Styela clava: one gene and its partner. The protein of the gene in region 2 interacts with the protein of the main gene of each other region in a biochemical or structural test. Links are inferred from orthologs where the notes say so. Each region holds a gene or a part of one and is shown on either strand. Other genes may lie near its edges. The genes, in order: general transcription and DNA repair factor IIH helicase/translocase subunit XPB-like and general transcription factor IIE subunit 1-like.

Region 1 (10,638 bases), on a different chromosome or scaffold from region 2:
GCTTTGCTCGAGACTGAAATCCAAACATTGTTTTTCAAGAATTTCTGAATCCATTTGCGGATTCCACCATTTTTTGGAGCTACGTTCAAACAGATGAGGTATCCGCCCTGCAAAATAAATATATGCTTAGATATAAATGTTATAGGAAATGATCACCTAACGAGTGCTAAAGGGCTCTCCATGTTTTAATATATCATATAAATCCTCCTGCAATGAATTAATCTAAATATTGTCTTAGAAAAACGTGCGTAAACAATAAAAGTAGGCAAATACGCCATGACGATCGATAGCTGGAAAAAAATTAAAATTTTTATTTTATTGACAAAATTGTGATATATTACTGTGTGAAATTGATATGAAAGTGTTTTTATAAGTTCACTACACTTGTCCAGTAGTGTTGGCAAAATGTATTGTAGACATAGTTCAGTTGGATATTGAATTAACGAAATCACAAATGTGTCACAGTTCAATCCATGAGGTAACATGTATTACAATTTTGGGATTAAAATGGCAAATTTCAGAATAAAGCCAGAAATTTTTACATCTCTCAAATAATATCAAGATATTCATTTTAAATCTTGATAAAATATAGATTTTTTTATTAAACAACGAAGTTATAACTAACACTTGCCCCTTTTCTTTCTTCGTGACAGCATTGTTATTCTGCAAGGAGATAGATCCGATTTGTTTGTCTCAGAATGTTCTTTTTTCTCTTGATTCGAAACAAGACTTACATTATTTTCATTTGATTTCAAATTAAATTCTACCATCGTTGTTGTCATCTTGAGTGAGACGACCTCAAATACGCAGCCACGAATGACTGCACCATTTGATACAGATTCTAATTATTTTAAAATCAAAATCACAGCCTGTGAAAATGGAATATTTTTTTCAATTTTGGACTTTTTTCACTCAAATGACTGGAACAGTGTGAAATATCAAAGTATTATTAGCCTTGATTGTATCTTTATTTGAATAAGGAAGTTATCTTCAATGAGAACTTATATGTTTTTTTATGATGATTTTATAATGTACATGAAAAATAACACTGGTATTGAATAAGAACTGAACTGGCAAACAATAGGATTAGCAACTAAATTCAGTGTATGTAAGCACATTCGCATAGCAAAGAGAATAAAAAATTTACTATCAAAATTCACTTTCTGGTTGTGCTTCACTGCAACAGCTTAGAAAAAGTTTGAACTTAACAGGAAATCACTTCTTTAAATGATTTAATATTGGGTTTGATTTAAATAATGGTTAATGTTGGGATAATCAGCATTACAGCATTATTAATCATAATTATGATATATATATAATATCCAAGATACAATGAGAAATTGGTGACAATATTTTTTTGATACTCCATAAATTCAAACAAACTATGATTATTTTCTAAAATTTTAATGACTTCTTGATAATAAAATTTGCAATTATTGAAAATTGAGAATTGAGCAGTATTCCAACATCAATCACTAATTTTCGAATAAGAATTTTATTTTAGAATCCTAGTCAACCAGAACACAGTACTATAACTATACTAATAGCCTTGGTAAGAGTAATGTCATATTATGTATCAGTAAATAGGTACCCAATAATGCATTTTTTTAAATAACGTTTTTTACAAAAAAATGAAACAATTGACATATCTGAATGCACTGTATTATACTGGAACATAAATTGCAACATATTTGAGATAATATTCCATAGGACTATATGTATATGTGGAACATAATGGTAACATGAAATGCAGGAAAGGTTGCATGAAATGCGTTGTCAAATATTACATTGTAAAAAAGCACCAAACTCGCAAATAAGCTGGAATACACAATCTGAGCAGAAAAAGCAATTATTTTTATCAATGGCTAAACCAAGTTTTTTTTGTATAGATAGAAGAAATCATCAAAATTTGAAGTTGGTCGCTGAGTATCCATTTCAGTCGAAAAGTCTTATACCGTTGTATCCTCCCTTTTCGTCCGTGGATCCGGGTATTACTAATTTTCGCACCAGATGATTCAACCCCGGAATTTCTTAAAAAGGTCATGTTTCTTGTCCCTTTTCGATTTATATTCCAGAAACACCGCATCATCTGCCCCAGAAAGCGATGACATTGTCGTTTTACGTTTCACTCCACCTTGTCGTGATGAAGACATACCTTCACCGGGCATCATCTCTTCCTCAGCATCAAGGTCGCTGGCCGCTAAAACTTTTTGAAGAAGATTGTGCTGTTCTTCTTTCGTGCCAAATGCAAGTTGTTTATCTTCATCTAAGCCTTGTAGTTTAGTGATAACTTTAAATGCATAGCCTTGATTAACTAAAAAACTTTGTCTTTTTGTCGAATAAGCCACTTCTTTTGTATCTTGTGACACGAGTGAATAGAAAAAAGCATTGTATTCTTCAGCCAAGCTGCCTTTTTTAGCTCGGAGGATTCTTCCCAATCTTTGTGCTTCTTGCCTACGAGAACCACCATGTGATGAAACTTGTATCAATACATTTGCAGCAGGAAGATCAATCGAGTTATCACCAACTTTGGAAATAAAAATAGTGTTCACTTTTGGATTGTGTATGAAGTTTTGTAATATCTGTATTCTTTCACCTTGTGACGTTGGTCCATAAATATATGGCTTTCCCATTCGTACAGCGTATTCTTTTAAAGCAAATACGTTATCAGAAAATACCACAATTTTATCGTTACGTCGCTCATGAAATTTAACCAAATATTGACAAGCTCTGAACTTGTTTGGATTCATAACATAGAGCAAAATACGCTTTCTTGATTGTAACCCCAAATATTCTCGATAAAATTCTGGAGTCATGGGGCACCACACTTCCGCACATTGCACTCTGGCAATATATCCCCCACTTTGAAGCTCCATCCAATTTGCCTCGTATAGTTTTGGTCCAATGAGGAAATTCAAATCTGAAATTTTGTCATCTTCTCTTACTAATGTTGCAGTGAGTCCGAGTTTGCAATGTGCTTGTACAACTGTTAAAACTCTTCGGAACTGTTTCGCAGGAATTGTGTGGACTTCATCTAATACCATCAAACCCCATTCTTGACTCCTTATCCATTCCATTACTCGTTCAGCCTCCCACGATCGTTTAAAACTATGTCCCATCATCGAATATGTACTAATAATAATACCACATCCATGGGGTTTATCTTTTGCATCAGACGTAAATCTGCATATCATAGAATCATCGGCAGTAGACCACATTTTAAATTGCGATCTCCATTGCTCAACTGCAACTCCAGAAGTACACAGAACCATGCAACGTTTTCGAACAGTACAAGCTGCAGTGACACCAACTAAAGTCTTTCCAGCACCACATGGAAGAACAATTACACCCGCACGTGCTCTTCCATTGCCAAACATTTTTCTGAGACTTTTTTCTTGATAAGGTCTCAGGACTGTTGTTGGTTTTAAATCCATTTTTAAATCTGGGTTCACAGTGTCGTTTCGAAAATCGTATTCCGCTAATAAGGGATATTCTAATTCAATGCATCTTTTTTGCAATGTTTCAATATCATCTTGATTAATTTCAAATGACACAACTTGCAATGTTTCTGTTTCATCATCGTCATTTCCATCAATTTTATCATATAAATCATAAATGTCTTTCGGTACACCACCTTCTTCAGCGGCATCTGAAACTTCATTATTATTATTATTGGAAGATTCGCCATTTTTCACCGCTGGTTTATTAACTTGTAATCCCTGTTTTCCAACAAAAGTAGAAACTTCTGGATCGCCAGAATCCCTTTTTCGGCAAGTTTCAATAACCGAATCTTTTAGTAATTTTTGTATAACTTCAGCATGCGTACTTTCAACAAAGTACCGATTGTGTTTGAGCACAAGTTTAACCTTGCCATAGCTGACTGTGCAAAGTTTTATAAAATCAACAATGCCCGTTGGAATTGTTGTTTTACTTAATCTGCTGAGGTATTCAATGATATCGTCAGTCTCTAATCCAACACTTACTGCTGCATACAAAGAATACGGTGTTAAACGGAACTCATGAATGTATTTTGGTCTGCTGATCGGCTCTGAAATTGCAATAAGAAAATCTCTAGCATGTTTATAAACTGGAGAAAATGACTCCAAAAATATATGTCCATCAGGGGCAACATAAATAGGTCGAGATGCATGGTCAGTTTTCATTCTCATTTGGCTTCTATAATCCTTAGCACCAAATTTGTCTTCAATGCCAACTGTGGTGGAAGACTCGGAATCAATGTGCTTTTTGGCTGCATTAGGGACAGCCGCAATATCCTCGTTTCCCACGCCGTCGTCAAAATCGTCGTATTCCTCATCGAAGTAATCTGGATCACGATCTTCTTTAACCTTATCTACCTTGTTCTTCTTAGCTTTTTTCGTTTTACCCATGTTTAAGGCGAATGAAAAATCCGTTTAATATCAAAATAGCTACAGTCCCGTTAAACCTGACGCTCGACTAACACAACAAACATAAGCATAGACTGCACAGCGGAACAACAGACTAGCGAACTGGAAAATGCTCGATTCTGCTCATTTTTTTTCTTTCGATTTGTGTTTCTATATTGCCCACTGGCGGAAGAAGTATAATTTCAAAACAACTGGATGAATGCTTCCCAAAGCATAAATTTCCTTGTTTATCTCCGTAACTATTACAAATCAGCGATAAGTTACCAACGACGTAACAAATGGAATTTATGCCGCCGCCCATACAATTCTTCCGTTCAGATATACATTCAAGCGTGGTTCCAAACATTACCCATTCTTGGTAGTTCTGCGTGCTATTTTTCAGTTTTTAGCTGTGTTTCCAAAATATAGTTGTAAATCAAATAACTTAATTGTCATTATGTCTTCTGAGGACCTTAAGTTTAGTTACAATAATCAATATTTGATAGCGCAAACGCTGTGATAGACTAGCATAAAATTAGCTATCACTACCTATAAGCGCACGTGGTTTATTGTTTTGAATAAAAATGACAGCTTTGCACATACGAGCCAGTTTGTAAGCGCCAACTCTTCAAAACACTCTCAAAATCAGCGTTGAAAATTTTGCAATGATAAAGTATAGGGAGAATCTTTCAGGGGTCGAGGAAACGTTACATATTTATCACGGGGGAGGGGGAAGCCGAACCATGTAATTATAGATAGTCAGATAATTCATTCTGAAAACTCCATAATACTCACAAAATCAAAAATGGAGAATTCTGGACAAAAAAAATCTTTAGAAAAGTTTAAAACATGACAAATAGCATGTGCCCGCTCACCAGCTAATACCAAAAAAAATTACAAAGATCATAAAACGAGAGAGAGATTTATTATCGCAAACAATGTCAACACTATAATACATTTGAAGCAACACAAAATGTAATTTAGCAATTGGTTGATCATTATTTGTGAGGGCAGTATGCAAGACCAGTTACGGTAGGTCACCGAGGCTCCTGGCCCTTGCTGTATATATACATGAAATCAACCAGACATAGCATTAGCAATGAAATACGAATAAAAAATATATGGAGAAATAAAATGTAGCCTAGATGTGCGAGTCAGCAATTTCACAGTTAATAATGCAAGTAATGATATTAATAGATCACGTGTTTTAAGTAGGGTTGGGATTTCGGAGCCAGTTTTTGAAATCTCAGTATCGGGATATCCCGGGATTGAGCCGTATAATCCCGAATTTTTCGAAATTAAGTAAAAGATTGAAACAACTTGCATGACAATAAAATCACGTATTTATTTAATGTGATGCCGACGCAGAAATATTAGAGCATCTAGGGCAGTAGTTCCCACCCTTTTTTTTATGTCGCGGCACACTATTTAGCATTTTAAATATTCGCGGCACATCTATCACAAAACACGAACATTTTCTACTTGTAAAGAGTGCGATAGCCGAAGGCGAAAACATGGTTAATAGTTACCGATATTACAACCGTTTTCTTACATTAATGTACACGAGAGCGCCTTCGAAGCACCTCACATTATTGTAAAAGTTGACGCCCTCCCGCGTCCCCCGTTAGCCGTTATTATTATTATTATCACAGGCATTTTCACTTTTGCACAACTTAATTCTTTTTTGTTACAATTCAATATGTTTCTCCCATTGCCAAAATCTTTCAATAGCATTATTGTCGGCACTTACGAGAGGAATGAAATGGGCAAACAAACTGTATTTCATTACAACAATTAATTATTATCGCTAAAACCACTAAATAGGTTTAATTTAAAGTTGTTATAATTTTCACCGCTGAACGTATCTTTTCACGTTATGAATTTCGTGCAATGCCCGAGCATAATTTGATGATAAAGATCGTAGCATTTACTATGTCGAAACGCTTATTCGACTTTTCAGACCGCAGAAACTATCCGAAAAAGATTTTGTGTTCGAGATATGAAATAATCGGCAATTCCACCACGCTTTCGTGAAGTAGTGCAAAATAGTTTTATTAAGTTTCATTGCATCAGTATTTGGTCTACGCGTTTCGCCAGATTACTGGGTGATTAGAGATCTCAATGGTGGGCAAAATAGTATCTTTTCATCGTGTCGGATACTTTTAACGAACTGTCGAATTCGGGATTTAATTCCGATTTTTATCTTTTGGGTCGGCTTTTATCTTTCTTGTCACCGTTTGTAAATTAACTGTCCCAATTTTAAGCTAAAAATATTATCATTTCTGACGCCGAAATGCGGATATTCATGAAGGCGATAGTTGACCTTCTTGATTTTATTTTTCTATTGTGGCTGTTTTATTTTTCTATTAAATAGTGAATAAAAACCCTGCAAAGTCATTGCGTGAATCCTGAATGCTATTTTGAGTTCAAATTATGATTAAATAAATCGGCGATAATTGCAATTCTACTAGTCAAATAATAATTCATTTGTAAAACTTGAGAAAATTTCGCACAATAATTCCACTTAGTCTGACTGACTCAAACTGTAAACGTGGATGGCTTTTATTTTTAAAGAAGAATTAAATAAAATGGTATAACCTACCATTTGTGAGAATATCTACATGTGGATAATAACGCCTTATAACCCCGGAATTTTTAGAGAATAATTGCGGGATTGGGATTGAAAAAAAAACACTCCAGATCCCGGGATATCGGGATTTTCCGGGGTCCCAACCCTAGTTTTAGATTCGAACAGGTCCATAAAATTGAAAAAATTATCAAAAGCTTAGATTAGTTTTTGTAATTAAATATTTGTTGGGCCGAGACGGGCTCAAATACACAGAGAAAAATGAAGAAGTCGGATTATCACAGATTAAACAATAAATAAAAGATAGGAAGTACAAGTATCATTAACAATGGTTTTTTAAGGTGAACTATAATAAAGTACATAGTAGTAGTTTGTGTCAAAAAAGAGAAAACATTTTAGTATGATTTTACAAAAAATGCAATTGAAAGAGGCCAATGATCTTCAATACACAGTCTAAATGTGAAACAGTCAAATTTATGATATTATATACAGTGTTTGGCTCATTTACTTTAAACAAAGTTTAAAAGATATTAAACTTAGGATTTTTAATTGAGATAATTATTAATCAAGATATTAAGACAAATTTGAGCATTTAAGTAAGAAAGACTTTTTCAGTTCCTCATTGAAAACATGCACTGAACTTTTTTTGGTTTCATACTTCAAAGATGTTTTGTCCACCTCAGTGGACACTTGTGGAGTAATATTATTCCTGTTTATTTAAAATCTGGTGCAGTAATTATGCACTTTTTGTAATGGGGTGAAATAATGTATAAAGACTGGGAGAATAAGGCCATTTTCATACCGATGCATAAACTTTGCAATTTATAGTGCGAGCATATCTGAAAGCTGTAGGTCGTAGGAGATCATACTGGTGACAAAGCTGCAAATTAGTTAAAACTTTTCTCTGCAAATGTCATGCACCTTAAAACTTTATTCCGCAGAACTTAAATTGACTGAAAGGAAGACCTTGTTGCTGAACCCCAACCCAAAACGTATATATAATGCCCGAAACCAAGTAGACCATATTGTAGACGCGAGTGAAATAAACTAAAATATACTTATTTAAGGGTTTTAGATTTCAAAATGAGCCTTAATCTGTAAAATATTTTAAGATTTTGCAAAAAAATTATTGGATAACTGACAATATGTGGTTTCCAACTGCAAAATATCTTTCTATCACGAATTCATACACATATACAAAATAGTATCAACCATCCATTTCTGTTTACAGCATTCACACGGATATAATATTTTGGTAGAGAGGAGAAAGGCGTCGGTAAGTTTACTAGCCCCACGAACATTACATAGATAATATTTGACTTGAGATACAGTTGAGAAGCCTTCAAGCTGAGAGTGTACTTTTCGGCCTAATATTACTGTTGACATTTGTCAGCGATATATGGCAAACTACGGCTTCTTGTCTGGTTGCTGGCCCATGTCGGCCATGGGACTAGTCAGCCAGTTATTCATTTCAGATGTGTGGATTTGATGATAGAGGAAGCCGTAACCGACCAAGGTACGTGAACCACCCTATGGCGGCGAGCACTTTTAAGATACACCGTTGAAGTTAGTATATATTCTCACACTGGTCCCAGGAAAAGGAGAATCAATGTGACGACTTAATCTATTGAAAAACGATCACAACTTAACTTCAAATAAACTAATAAAGCCCAATCAAATAACTGCAGGAATGAATTGGCACTTCGTCCTAATTGAGATCCCGAATATATATGTCATAAAATTAGAATCATTTAAATTGTATAGTACTGTTATGAAAATATGAACAAGCATATATATGACGATTGACGAACAAATAATCAGAACCATGGACTTCACTATGTTCAAGTCACGTATTAAAGATCTTAGGTTTTATCCCTCCGTTCACCTCCCCACAGTGGCTGCAATTACATATAACCGTTGAAAGGCGAGCCACGAGTCATATGTGTTTAATGCTATACACACAAGGGAAAAATTACATGGGCTTTATGAAGAGTTATTCAAGTTACGTTGTATAAATTGCACTAATACTCAATGATTATCAACTTTAATAATAAGAAATCCAATGAGCATTTTTACCTGATGAATGGTTCAAATAGACATTGCATGACTAAACTCAGGCCAACTACAGATGGTTATACGATATGGAAATGTTCATTTTATTATTCTATATTTCACAATTTTTTACAAAATAAAAATGCACCACAAAGACCCAATATCAGTGCTACACACTCTTGAATTCGTAGTTTCAAATCGGGAAACTTCCACATCAAAGATTATCGCATTTAAATGCTGTAAAGTAAAGGCAACTGCGTTCGTGCAAAGAACGTTAAAATTTTTACAGTGCGTGTAAAGTCAATTTTACTATGCAGTTATCGTTTTACTATGAATATGAACAAAACCGTTCTGGATGTTTTAAAACCACGTACGAATCTAGTAAACATTATTCAATATATAAAATATGCTTCGTCATTCTCGTGAAAATTTCATCGTAGTTGAGAAATTATATGGAACTCCGCTCGGTAACAGGATGGTTTCGTAGACATCGTGTAATATAACTTTTTACAGCACAGCGTGTTGCTCAGTTAGTGAATTGAGTCAGAAATAAATCTTGGTATTGAATGCTTCGTCAATCCAGTTTTGTTCTCCAGAAATTTTGATTCTTTATATTCTGATTTGTCATCAATGGTTTTTTCAGCCTGCGCTTCTAGTCAGTCGCCTCGAACAATCATTCTATTTTTAAGAATATACAGAGCTCAATCCGTGATAAATCGTTTTGCTAACAATATTGCGTAGTTGATATATTTGGTTGCCTATTTCTGAGCTGCGCGTAATTTATCTCTGATCAAAACAAAACATACAAATAGTAGAATATGAGGATGCACACGATTCCGATTATTCCAGCTGTTTAGTCGTTGATTGTTAAATGAAAATGTGCGCTGTTGAAAGATATAAAGAATTTGTGGAATAAGTTAGGACAATAAGCAAATGGATTTGGACGAATTTGAAGAGCAGCTTGGTACTTTCAGTTTCTACAAAATATTCATACTTGTTTCGTGTATTTTTGCGATATTCGCTGGTTCATGGACACCATTCACATCAGTGTATTATAATGCCGTGCCGGATCACAGGTAATTTGACTACATACAGATGTATTTATTGCACCTACCTACTACAATCGTCTTTATCTCTGTGGTACTGATATCTAAGTACAGTGCTTATATATCGATGTGTGGCGATGGAATAGTAGGAAACTAGTCAGGCTTCACTTCTGCTTTTATTTTGACATATTCTGGACAAGAAGTGGACCTATGGGTCGTGTTGTTAAAATGTTGTTGTTATTGTTGTTTGTATTTTCCTTATTGCTATGAAAAAAATCGCTTTTCTCTTCAACTACCTGACCAATTGCTTTTAAATGTTTTGCGGTTAAAGATTGTATTTTTTGCTATTTTATGTAATTCAAAAATATCTGTGTCCTCTATGAGTCTATGCGACTCTAGACTCTATGGGATTCGTTTTTCGTATGCGAAGGCGTTATCAATATGAAAAATTGCGCACCTCGTGGCGGTTCCGTTTCCGCGTAAGTTGATATCTGTCGTTACACTCGGGTTTAATTGATTGTGCTTTTCAACACAGATGTAGGTTGCCATATTTTGAAGACAATACTAC
Region 2 (9,836 bases):
TAGTTCGAGCTTTCCATATATTCACTACTCTTTTGATTTTTTCTATAATTGGATTCCAGTTTTGTTGCGTCGTGTCATTGTTGCCGATCCAGACACCAAGGACACATAAACTATCCCTTTTTAATGCTATACCTTGAAACTGTGTTTCATTTATCTTAAGACAATCTCCACATAACAATATTTGAGATTTTTCCTTATTTATCCTGGTACCTACAGCTATTTCAAATTTTTCGACTATTTTCAATGCCTCTCCAACTGATTTTAAATCTCTAACTGTTAATGTTGCATCATCCGCAAACCCTTTGTATTTTTCTTCATTCCCTGAAATGTTCTTAAAACCTATTATGTTGCTATTTACTCTAATATTAGTTGCAAAAACCTCCGCAACCATAGTGTATAAAAATGGGGACAGAGGACAGCCTTGTTTTAATCCACGTGTCATTTCAAAACTCTCTCCTACATATCCATTTGTTAATATTTTTGCTTTTGTATTAGTATATAAAATTCTTATATAATTGATAAAATTTGGACCTAAATTAAACTTCTTCATAACTTTAAAAAGGAATTCTCTATCAACAGTATCATAGGCTTTGGCCCAGTCTATTGAAAACACTACTAATTCTTTTCCAAATCTGTTAGCATAAAATATGTCGTCTCTAATACATGAGATGTTTTCATGTATAGAACGACCCTGAATAAAACCAGTCTGGTCACAGTGAATTATTTTTGGAAGTAAGTTTCTAATTCTGTTAGCTAAAATTTTTGCCAAAAGCTTATAATCAAAGTTTAACAGCGATATAGGTCGCCAATTATTCAGGTCATTTTTATTTCCTTTTTTATACAATAGGGTGATAATAGCTGTTTTCATTGACTCTGACATATGTCCTGATATTACTATTTTGTCAAAAACAATTTTCAATATACTTCCAAATATTTTCCAGAATTTCGCATAAAAATTTTTTGTAATACCATCTGAGCCCGGCGCTTTGTTTAATTTCATACCTTTGAATGCGTTTTCTAATTCTTCAAATTTAATTGGTTGTTCTATGTCCTCCTTATCTAATCTATCAACTTCTTTATTTAATTTCAAAATCAAATCATCTTGGGAATTTTCATCTAGATTTGGTGTTTTTGAGTATAATTTTTGGTAAAAAGATTGTTGTACTTTTTGTATGTTTCTCAAACCTCTAACAATCTCTCCACTTTCGTTTTTAATTTCTTGTATCAATTTCAATTTCCCTCGATACTTCTCCAAATTGAAGAAATACTTTGATGAGATTTCTCCCGATTCTGCCCACTGTATGCGTGCCCTTATAGCGTTTCCTTTTACTTGATTCGTTTGAAAATCTTTCAAATTTTGTTTTGCCTGCATTAACTTGTGACTTTTTTCTATATCGTATTGATCTTCCTCATATTTGAACAATGCTTCTTCATAAGTTTTTATTAATTGTTTTTCTATATTCCTATTTTCCTTAGCTAACTTTTCTCCGCTATATATAGACCACTCCTTAATTTTTCTTTTACAATTTTCCCAAAATTTAAGAACATCAATTTCATGTCCTTCATTTAATTGCTTTAGCCATTTCTTTAATATAACTTCTACCCCTGTGACAAATAAATCATAATTTAATAAGTTGCTATTAAATTTCCAATAACCTTTCCCACGTTTGATATTCTCGCCTATATCTGTCCACATAAAGACAGGTAAGTGATCCGATAATGCTGCTGCAATTATTTCAACTTTTTCTACATTGACAGTATATAATCGCGAAAGATACCATCTGTCTATTCTGCTTTTGGATTGTTTTTGCCCGTTTCTGGTTGCTGGGCGATGAAATGAAAATTGTAAAAGGGATGAGTGCCTTTCACGCCAAATATCAATCAAATCCAATTTAGTAACAATATTTTGGAGCATTTTTTCACTTTTGGAATTATTATTTCTTCTACATTTGACGGAATCCCTATCCCTATCTTCCAAAATACAATTAAAATCACCACCACATATAAAATTGCATGTGTATGCATAATTTGAAGCTTTCAGGGTTTCTAGTTTTTCATATATAAGTTTGAACAACTTGACCCTTTGAGAATCAAGGTTTGGAGCATAAACGTTCACTACTATTGTTAAAAAACTATCGTATTCAAATGAACATATAATATATTGGCCATTTTCATCTATATCTATATTGCCTAAAGATATATCTAAATTTGAAGAAATCAAGATCAAGATCCCTACCCCATTGCAGGTATTGGAATATTCAGTCCATAAACATTGACTACCCCACTCTTTTGACCATGATTCATTTTCAATTTTACCAGAACAGTGAGTCTCTTGCAGAAACACTATATTAGCTCCCCGTTTTTTCAAAAAAGTAAATATCGCCTCCCTTTTCGTCAAATCCCTTAGTCTTAGTACTTCAGTCTTAGTACCAACACATATTTAACATTATATTAAAAAAAATTTTCAACGAAAAGACCAGAAAGAAACAATTCACTTGCTAAAAATTACATAATGATACTTTTGCTAGTCTGAAATAACATGTATAATAACACATAAAGTAATCTAAAATAAATGAAATTGAGAATATTTACCTTATATTTAATAATGTTGCAAATGCTTCTATAATTTATATAATAATAATTGTGACGAAGTACATTCCCATCTGGCTGTAAAACAAAGATTTACAAAAATAATTTTATGTTTACACAACAGTTAGATGATTAACTCGATTTGTATTGCACAATGGCCTAGTGTTGGGTTCTCAAACATCCCCGGATGCGGCTGCATAAATTATAATAAAATAAGTGTAATTATTTAATCCTTTTTAGTGGAATGCAACCATTTTTTGCATTCGTTCATTGACCCCTGACCAAGGCTGAAGCATTGGAATGAATGAACTATGCCTGCATCACAGGTTCAAGATCTCAGTGTAATCCCGTACCCAACACCTCACATTGGGTGTATTAAATTGGGTAGGCGGGTTGTCAAATGACTGCCAAAAATATATCCTGCCTATGGTTTGTGAATTTCATTTTGATTTTGTGTTAATTCGGACTATTTTAAGTATGCGATATCACCCCTTCAGGTTTTTCCCCCATAAGAAGCAATATTGCGCACGTTGTTAAGCACTGCTCTACGCGATATATTCTAAGCAAATGATTTTTAAGTTACCTACTATGGAAAGGTATATAATCTCACTATATCACACTTTAACCTATAATAACAAGATTGCTATTTATCATCTTTACTTGAGTTTCAACGCAAAGTCTTGCTTTCAAAATTTTATCATTCTTCAGAAAAACCAACATTGCTCGTAGTTGTTTCTTGTCCATTTTCAAAAGTTCCTGAAAGAAAAATAATCACTTTTCAAACACAGTATACAAATTTTGATGACCCCGATAGCTTAATCTAAAATCTAAAAAAAAAATTTCTAATTGTAAAATTCAGAGTTGTCAGTAAAAAGCCCAAAAAAACTTTGTTCACCGACACAAATATCACATTAATGGAATATATAACGATTTATGCACTACTTAGTATATTTTGACCAATCAAGTGTGCAACTAATGAAAATCCGAAAAATTTATCAATAAGGACAAAAGGATTAGCCTATATATGAGAGTGCCAAATTGAGTTGCCATAAAAACAATCTTTTTTTCTATTGATGAATGCTGATGGCTCAACTTTCGATGAATCATCATTATTGTTCAGAATACCTTCACAAATACACTGACGGGTCGAAAGTGGCAAGTTTGAACCCACTCCCCCCCTCTTCCGTAAGAGTAAAAAAAAAACTGGACCTCATGAAATTAGAAAGTCTCTAGTCCTTACATCTATATTCTTTCTATATAGGATTAATTAAAAACAAAAGTATGTAACTCGTAAAAAACATGACCAACTTGGATGTCATCTTCCTTCACACATGCGTTTCGAACAAGTACGTCGATAACTAGGCCGTGTTCAAGTCCATAGAATCCTCTTGCAACATATCTGAAGACAAAATATATAAGATCATGAAGCTGAAGGTATAGCTCTGAGAAATAAATAATGTGTCCCACTTTTCCACACTTGAAAATAGTTTGAATTCCATGAGTCTAGATGTAGACTAACACAAATGTAACATTTTTACATTCGTGTTAGTGTACAGCAAGACTCCAGAGCAGCTTTGCATTATGAATCCACTTACGCAAAGGTATAGCGTAAGAAAAAGTAGATATTCTTGTGTAACGCAACTGATAATTGAAAAAGTTAAGTAATATTAACCTGATAAGTCTCTGCAAAGCATCGGGTACTTCTCGTAAAACTTCAGATTCATTTTCTAATGTGTTGGACATTTTACTTAAAATCAGACTTCAAGAAAAGAATTCTAATTTGGAATATAAATATTATCCTATATTACATAGTGTGAGCACCCCCTGAAAAGCAAAAAGTAAAAATATTAAAATTTTGCTGGTTGTGTGACATCAAATAAGATGGAAATTCACATTCATTCTGAAGGAGAGAAAACATACAACATTGCACATTAAATATTACCAGTTACCAGTCAGAATTACCACCAGAGCACTGTGATGGAAAAAATGATAACATGTGAAAAAGTGGCTCTTCATTTGAAGCCTTGTTTAATGCAAACACACAAATAATCTCAAAACACAACCCAAGTAAAACCATAACCGGTGGACTATGCCAGAACAATGAAGAAAATTTTTCAACTCCCAGCTATCGTGAACAATTGTCCACATCCTTGTTTAAAAATAAGATAAAATGTTATTATTAGAAAACAGTCCCAATTTATATTTGCTACTCTTCTTGAAAACAACAAAAAGATACAAATAACATTGGGCGTTCACAATTAAATGTACAAAGTGTGAGTGGTATCAAAATTGATTCAATATCAAAAAATTTGTACATTATAATAGTGGTGATCGTTTTCAGTAAATATTATAACCTGTGTTTTAGAAATGTAACCATTTTTATATAAAAACAAGAAGGAATTTTGAAATGGAATTTAGCGCTTAAATCAACGATGCAAAAAGTGGGTGCGACGCAGGTTTTAGGTCATTTTTATGTGACCCGAGTTGAGAATTATGATAATAGAGTACTCTTCAGAAATCAAAAAACAATGACATTCAACAGAAATTTTTACTTCGCTTGATTGATATTGAGTTATTTTTTCCACATATTCGATTCAACCATGGATGCAAAAAGTGGGTGCGATATAAGGTGTGTACCGAGCCACAGGATTTTGATAACAGAGTTCTCTTTAGAAATCAGAAGTCCATAACAATCAACAAAAACGTTTTTATTGCTTGACTGATATCGAGGAGGTTTTCTCACATATATTCTATGCACCTAATATAGAACTCTCAATCTAAAATTGATTTGAAGTATAGCATGCATGAAAGTATTTTAGAAAGCAGTCCTAGGATTGCAAAATATTTTAGTTGAAATTACTAGATTTTGAGTACTACTGATGAAAAATACTACCGGTATGTAAAGCAATGGAGATAAATTATACTTGCAGAATATACCATGATTCCAAATGTTTAATTGTACATAGAGGAAAGGATAATTACCGATTTGTCACAAAAACAATATAGCACAAAAGATATTATTTCAAAAAGCAGGATTAGGGTTGTAAAAAAATTTAGGTGAAATTTAGAGATTTTGAGTATGACTGATGAAAAATATGATGTAAAGCAATGAATATAAGAGTTATACAAATATAGTTAACTGTGATCCAAACCCATGACAAGGATTAAGAGAATGAGATGAAAATATCTAAACTCCTACAATGTTTTTCGACTGTATTTAAATAATTACCTGAAAAATACGGGATTGATTCAGTAATAAATTTTAGTGGCAAAATACCAAGTGATGGAAATTAATTTCCTTAACATGTACATCAGAGTTAGAGTAGATTCAAATCATAATATATTCAATTTTTTATAATATCTTCCATATAGTTTTGACCGTTCCTATAAGAAAAATTTTATAAACCTCAGGCAAATGTCATAAGCTTTTGTGTCAACGTAAATGATTCAGCATATAATTTTTTTTAATATATTTATACGCAGAATTACTGAATCTTGAAAATGTCAATTCTTGGAATCAGTGACTTTCTTTTGGGTGATCTGCTTACTGAACATAACATGAAACCATGGTGGGAAAAAATCAGAGGATATTTTTATGCAGGCAGTGTGGCAACCACCCTTTTTATGTTTTATTTGACACAAACTATAAAAATAAAATGTGTTCCGACGGTACAAAATGGCACCTCTCTTGATGCTGCTATAATGAACAACTATTGTATGAACCAGATACCATGGTTTGTGACTTATTCTGGTTTTCTCGGCCTGTCTTCCATCTTGCTGGTTTTGATTGCTTCTGCCTATTGGCTTCAGATACCTGGAGTTATAAATTCATTCAACACTTTCAAAAAAGCAGAACAGCTAATTGAAGGATTATCCGATGAAAATGACAAACTGCAATCCTCTGTTGAAGAACCTTTATCCAGAATGTCTGACTGCATCGTGAGAGAGGCTTGGCCCTTATTACTCTTATATGAATGCGATATTTTTATCAAACATGTTTATTACAAAAGAAATAGGATTCTTCTTGCCGCTATCGTCTTATCAATAGGTATATCAGGATTACTAGTATGTTTCTTGGCTAAAGATGGCAACACATTTCACTGCAATCCGTTTCAATTAGACTATTTGGAAATGACTGGTGAAGGGAGTCCGGTACCTTATTTTTGCTCACACAATACTGCAAAACAACTTATTCCTTATTGGGTGGGGTTTTAAGCATCTACCATGCTACAACTCGTGTTTGTTATAGTGGGAATGTGCAAAATGAGATATTTACATAAGGCAGTCCCTAGATTTGACCAAAACAGCTATTTTCTAGAACCCCTCACAATAGAAGAAACTACAGCTGGGAATGCTGAACATGACAGCCCCGAGAATTACTTTAAAAATATACAAATTTTAAGAACTTATGCAAAGAAAGCATTCCCCTTTATAACATTTATGATTCGCTTCTGGGAATCTTGGACGCTCTGGAAAATTTTGTGAGATCGTTAAACTCTGGTTTTCTGACGAATCATTGAAAGAATCGGCTAGACACTATACAGATGCCATAACACTTGACAAAAAGAAAAATATTGAATTGTTTTCCATCACGAACGATCTTGAAGACTGGAAAATATTGGAAAAAGTAGAACAAAAATTAAGCGAAAGAAAGATAACAGCAAACACTGCAGAGAAATATCTTCAAAATATAAAATTGAAAATTACTAATCCACATACTAAAAAACTAATGAATATTGCAAAAATAAACAGAGATGGCTTTTTAACAGTTGTCATTATAAATCAATTCGAAGAGACAGATGAATGTGAAAATTTTGTGAAAGATCTAAATCTGGATTTATTGGATAACGATGGCAGATCAATTTTGTACTATGCTTTATCTGATCAAAAATATTTCAAAGCGGCTAAGATTATACTGAAAAGCATGAAAGATGGAAGAACGAAATATATTCATTGCGACTCTAAGTACAAGTACTCCTTTCCTCCTATTATTGGTTTAGACAATAAAACCATCAGAGCAGCAGAGTATGTAGAGTGAGTTTACAACAAAATGTGGACCCGTAATGAGGATTATGAATCGCTGAAAGTTCTAATTCTTAAAAGCGAAGAAGGGGGTCCTGTGCCAAGTAAAAGTCAAGAAGCACTGAAGGAACTTTTAAGTAAGTTTAGTATCAATGAGGAAGTACATGAAAAAGCGAGTCTACAAATGCAGAATGAAGTAGATATAAAAAAAGTATTAAAGCCATTGGAACCTCTCCTATGTGTATTAGCATGCACAATGCTCGAACGGGAATTTTCAACTCTCTTATTTACTCACTGGGATGAAACAGCAAAAAAAATTGCAAGATTTGCATATGACAATAAGCTCTGGGATATATTTGTAACATTACTAAATTCATACATTGTAACTGAAGAAAATGAAATTGAGGAAGGACTGCGTGAAGTAGGATGTGGTGTCAGGAAATTTGATATTGGAGAAAACCCTGAAATTCTCGTTACTGCATGTGTCAACAGTCTCCGAGGGACAACTGCCCTAGAGCATATACTTGCATGCACTCTTCCTCAGCAAAAGGATCGAAATCATCCTGGCCTGCAGATAATTGATCATACTATTCTTGAAGTTGGAATAAAAGAAAAGATAAAAAAAAAATGGCACACAGTATGAAAGAAAGATTCGGACAAAGTACAACAAATGAAACAAGAATAAATCTGGAAGAAAATGCTGGACCATCAACATCAAATCGAGAGAGGCAACATAATGTACAAGATAATGAAACAGAGAATGAAGAAGACATCATCGATTCTACACCACTGTACAAAACCTCCCCGGTGTAAGACATTAATTGAAAGCTATCATGTTGATATTTGGGAAACATTATCCAAAGTCAACTAATTTTTTTGATTTGTTGTAAATGCTTTGGCTAATAGATTAGGCCTTCTAATTGAAATAGAAATTCATATGTATCTATATGATTTGATTCAAGATTGTGAAATTGAAGATTGGTATGTTTTCCTTAATATTGGAGTCATAGCCAAAAATGTATTTTAATTTTAAACTCTTTAATAAAGTAAGAGATGAAGTCAAAATTTCTGACAAAAAATAAAAAAGCTCATCATACTTATCATCATAATAGAAGCATTGTAAATATCAAAAGTTTTTGAAGACACACAGTTTTCCCAAGATTGGAGACTGATATCAGTGTAAAATTTTTGTGATTTAAGAATCGAAAATTGGTATCGTTTACCAAATTTCTCAAACTTTAGTGTAAATGTTCCTGGAATTCATAGGAGCTGTTGTCCTCACAACAGTTTAATATGATGACCATTATTGGATGAATTACTTCAAATAAACAAATCAATTTGCCCCATCTTTTACTGATATAAAGTTACTTAGATGTTTTTTTTTATCCGTAGAATCACATATTCTGTACTCTGTAGTGTAGATTACTAGACTAAATATAAAACTTGTTTGAAAATAGTTATAAAGATTGTTGTCTTTATTTATAAGATTTCAAGGGATGAAGTCTGCTAGTTGCGTTCCTATGCCTACAACCTAAATTCTGATAACATTAAAAATATCGAAAATATACTAAAATGAGCACCAGAAAGCAAACAAAGGTTTGGTTTATTTGAAGCTCGAAATATGGGTGTGGTGCTCGAAAAAGATTTTTTGAAGTTCCATCCCAAATAATGGTTCGAGGAGAAAAGCAAATAGACTAATGTTTGTGATTTTTAAGCTCAATAACAATATACAGGAGCTTCTATATTATACAAAAAAAAACTTTTATATTTACAATTTAAAATGGGAATTCATTATCTTAGGATGAGTGGAAAACCAATTTTGCAGTAAAATCACTTGGTAAACCCGCCCTTCACAAGCTGACTAGTTAAGTTGGGATGTGGGATTAGGTAACTAGTTTATCTTTCCGAAGGCATAGATTTGTATGTGTGGAGCCGCAATTAGCCCCCGCGAGTTTGAGACCCCTGTTTTGGAGTTCTGGACCTGCATGATTCCAGTGTATGTGATGCATTATAATTTATAACAGTGGTGAACAAATAGTCAAATACTATCCTGTGCGGGATAGTTAACAAAAAAGACTTGGTTACTGGGCCGGTGGCTCAAAACTCAATATGAAAACAGTTTATTTGCAACAGCTAGGCTAACATTTATATAATAAGCACAATGTAACAAACGTCATTACGACGTTATTTTCATCGGTAATTTCAATAGAAATGCATTATAATAT

Evidence for each region.
Region 1: the proteins of general transcription factor IIE subunit 1-like (region 2) and general transcription and DNA repair factor IIH helicase/translocase subunit XPB-like form a complex in vitro, tested with the Homo sapiens proteins (2 studies listed by BioGRID). The link is inferred for Styela clava from reciprocal best matches to the Homo sapiens genes GTF2E1 and ERCC3.

What each region holds. Positions count from the first base shown.
Region 1 is NC_135263.1:11,706,507-11,717,144, reverse strand, and holds general transcription and DNA repair factor IIH helicase/translocase subunit XPB-like, read right to left. Parts: upstream 4,515-10,638; 5' UTR 4,389-4,514; coding exon 2,016-4,388; 3' UTR 870-2,015; downstream 1-869. Other genes in the region: adenylate cyclase type 9-like, read right to left, coding at 1-107, 632-782; organic cation transporter protein-like, read left to right, coding at 9,958-10,100, 10,606-10,638. UniProt on the Homo sapiens protein: ATP-dependent 3'-5' DNA helicase/translocase. Binds dsDNA rather than ssDNA, unzipping it in a translocase rather than classical helicase activity. Component of the general transcription and DNA repair factor IIH (TFIIH) core complex.
Region 2 is NC_135250.1:24,566,677-24,576,512, forward strand, and holds the start of general transcription factor IIE subunit 1-like, read right to left. Parts: upstream 4,414-9,836; 5' UTR 4,333-4,413; coding exon 4,262-4,332; intron 3,989-4,261; coding exon 3,898-3,988; intron 3,346-3,897; coding exon 3,250-3,345; intron 2,668-3,249; coding exon 2,593-2,667; intron 1-2,592.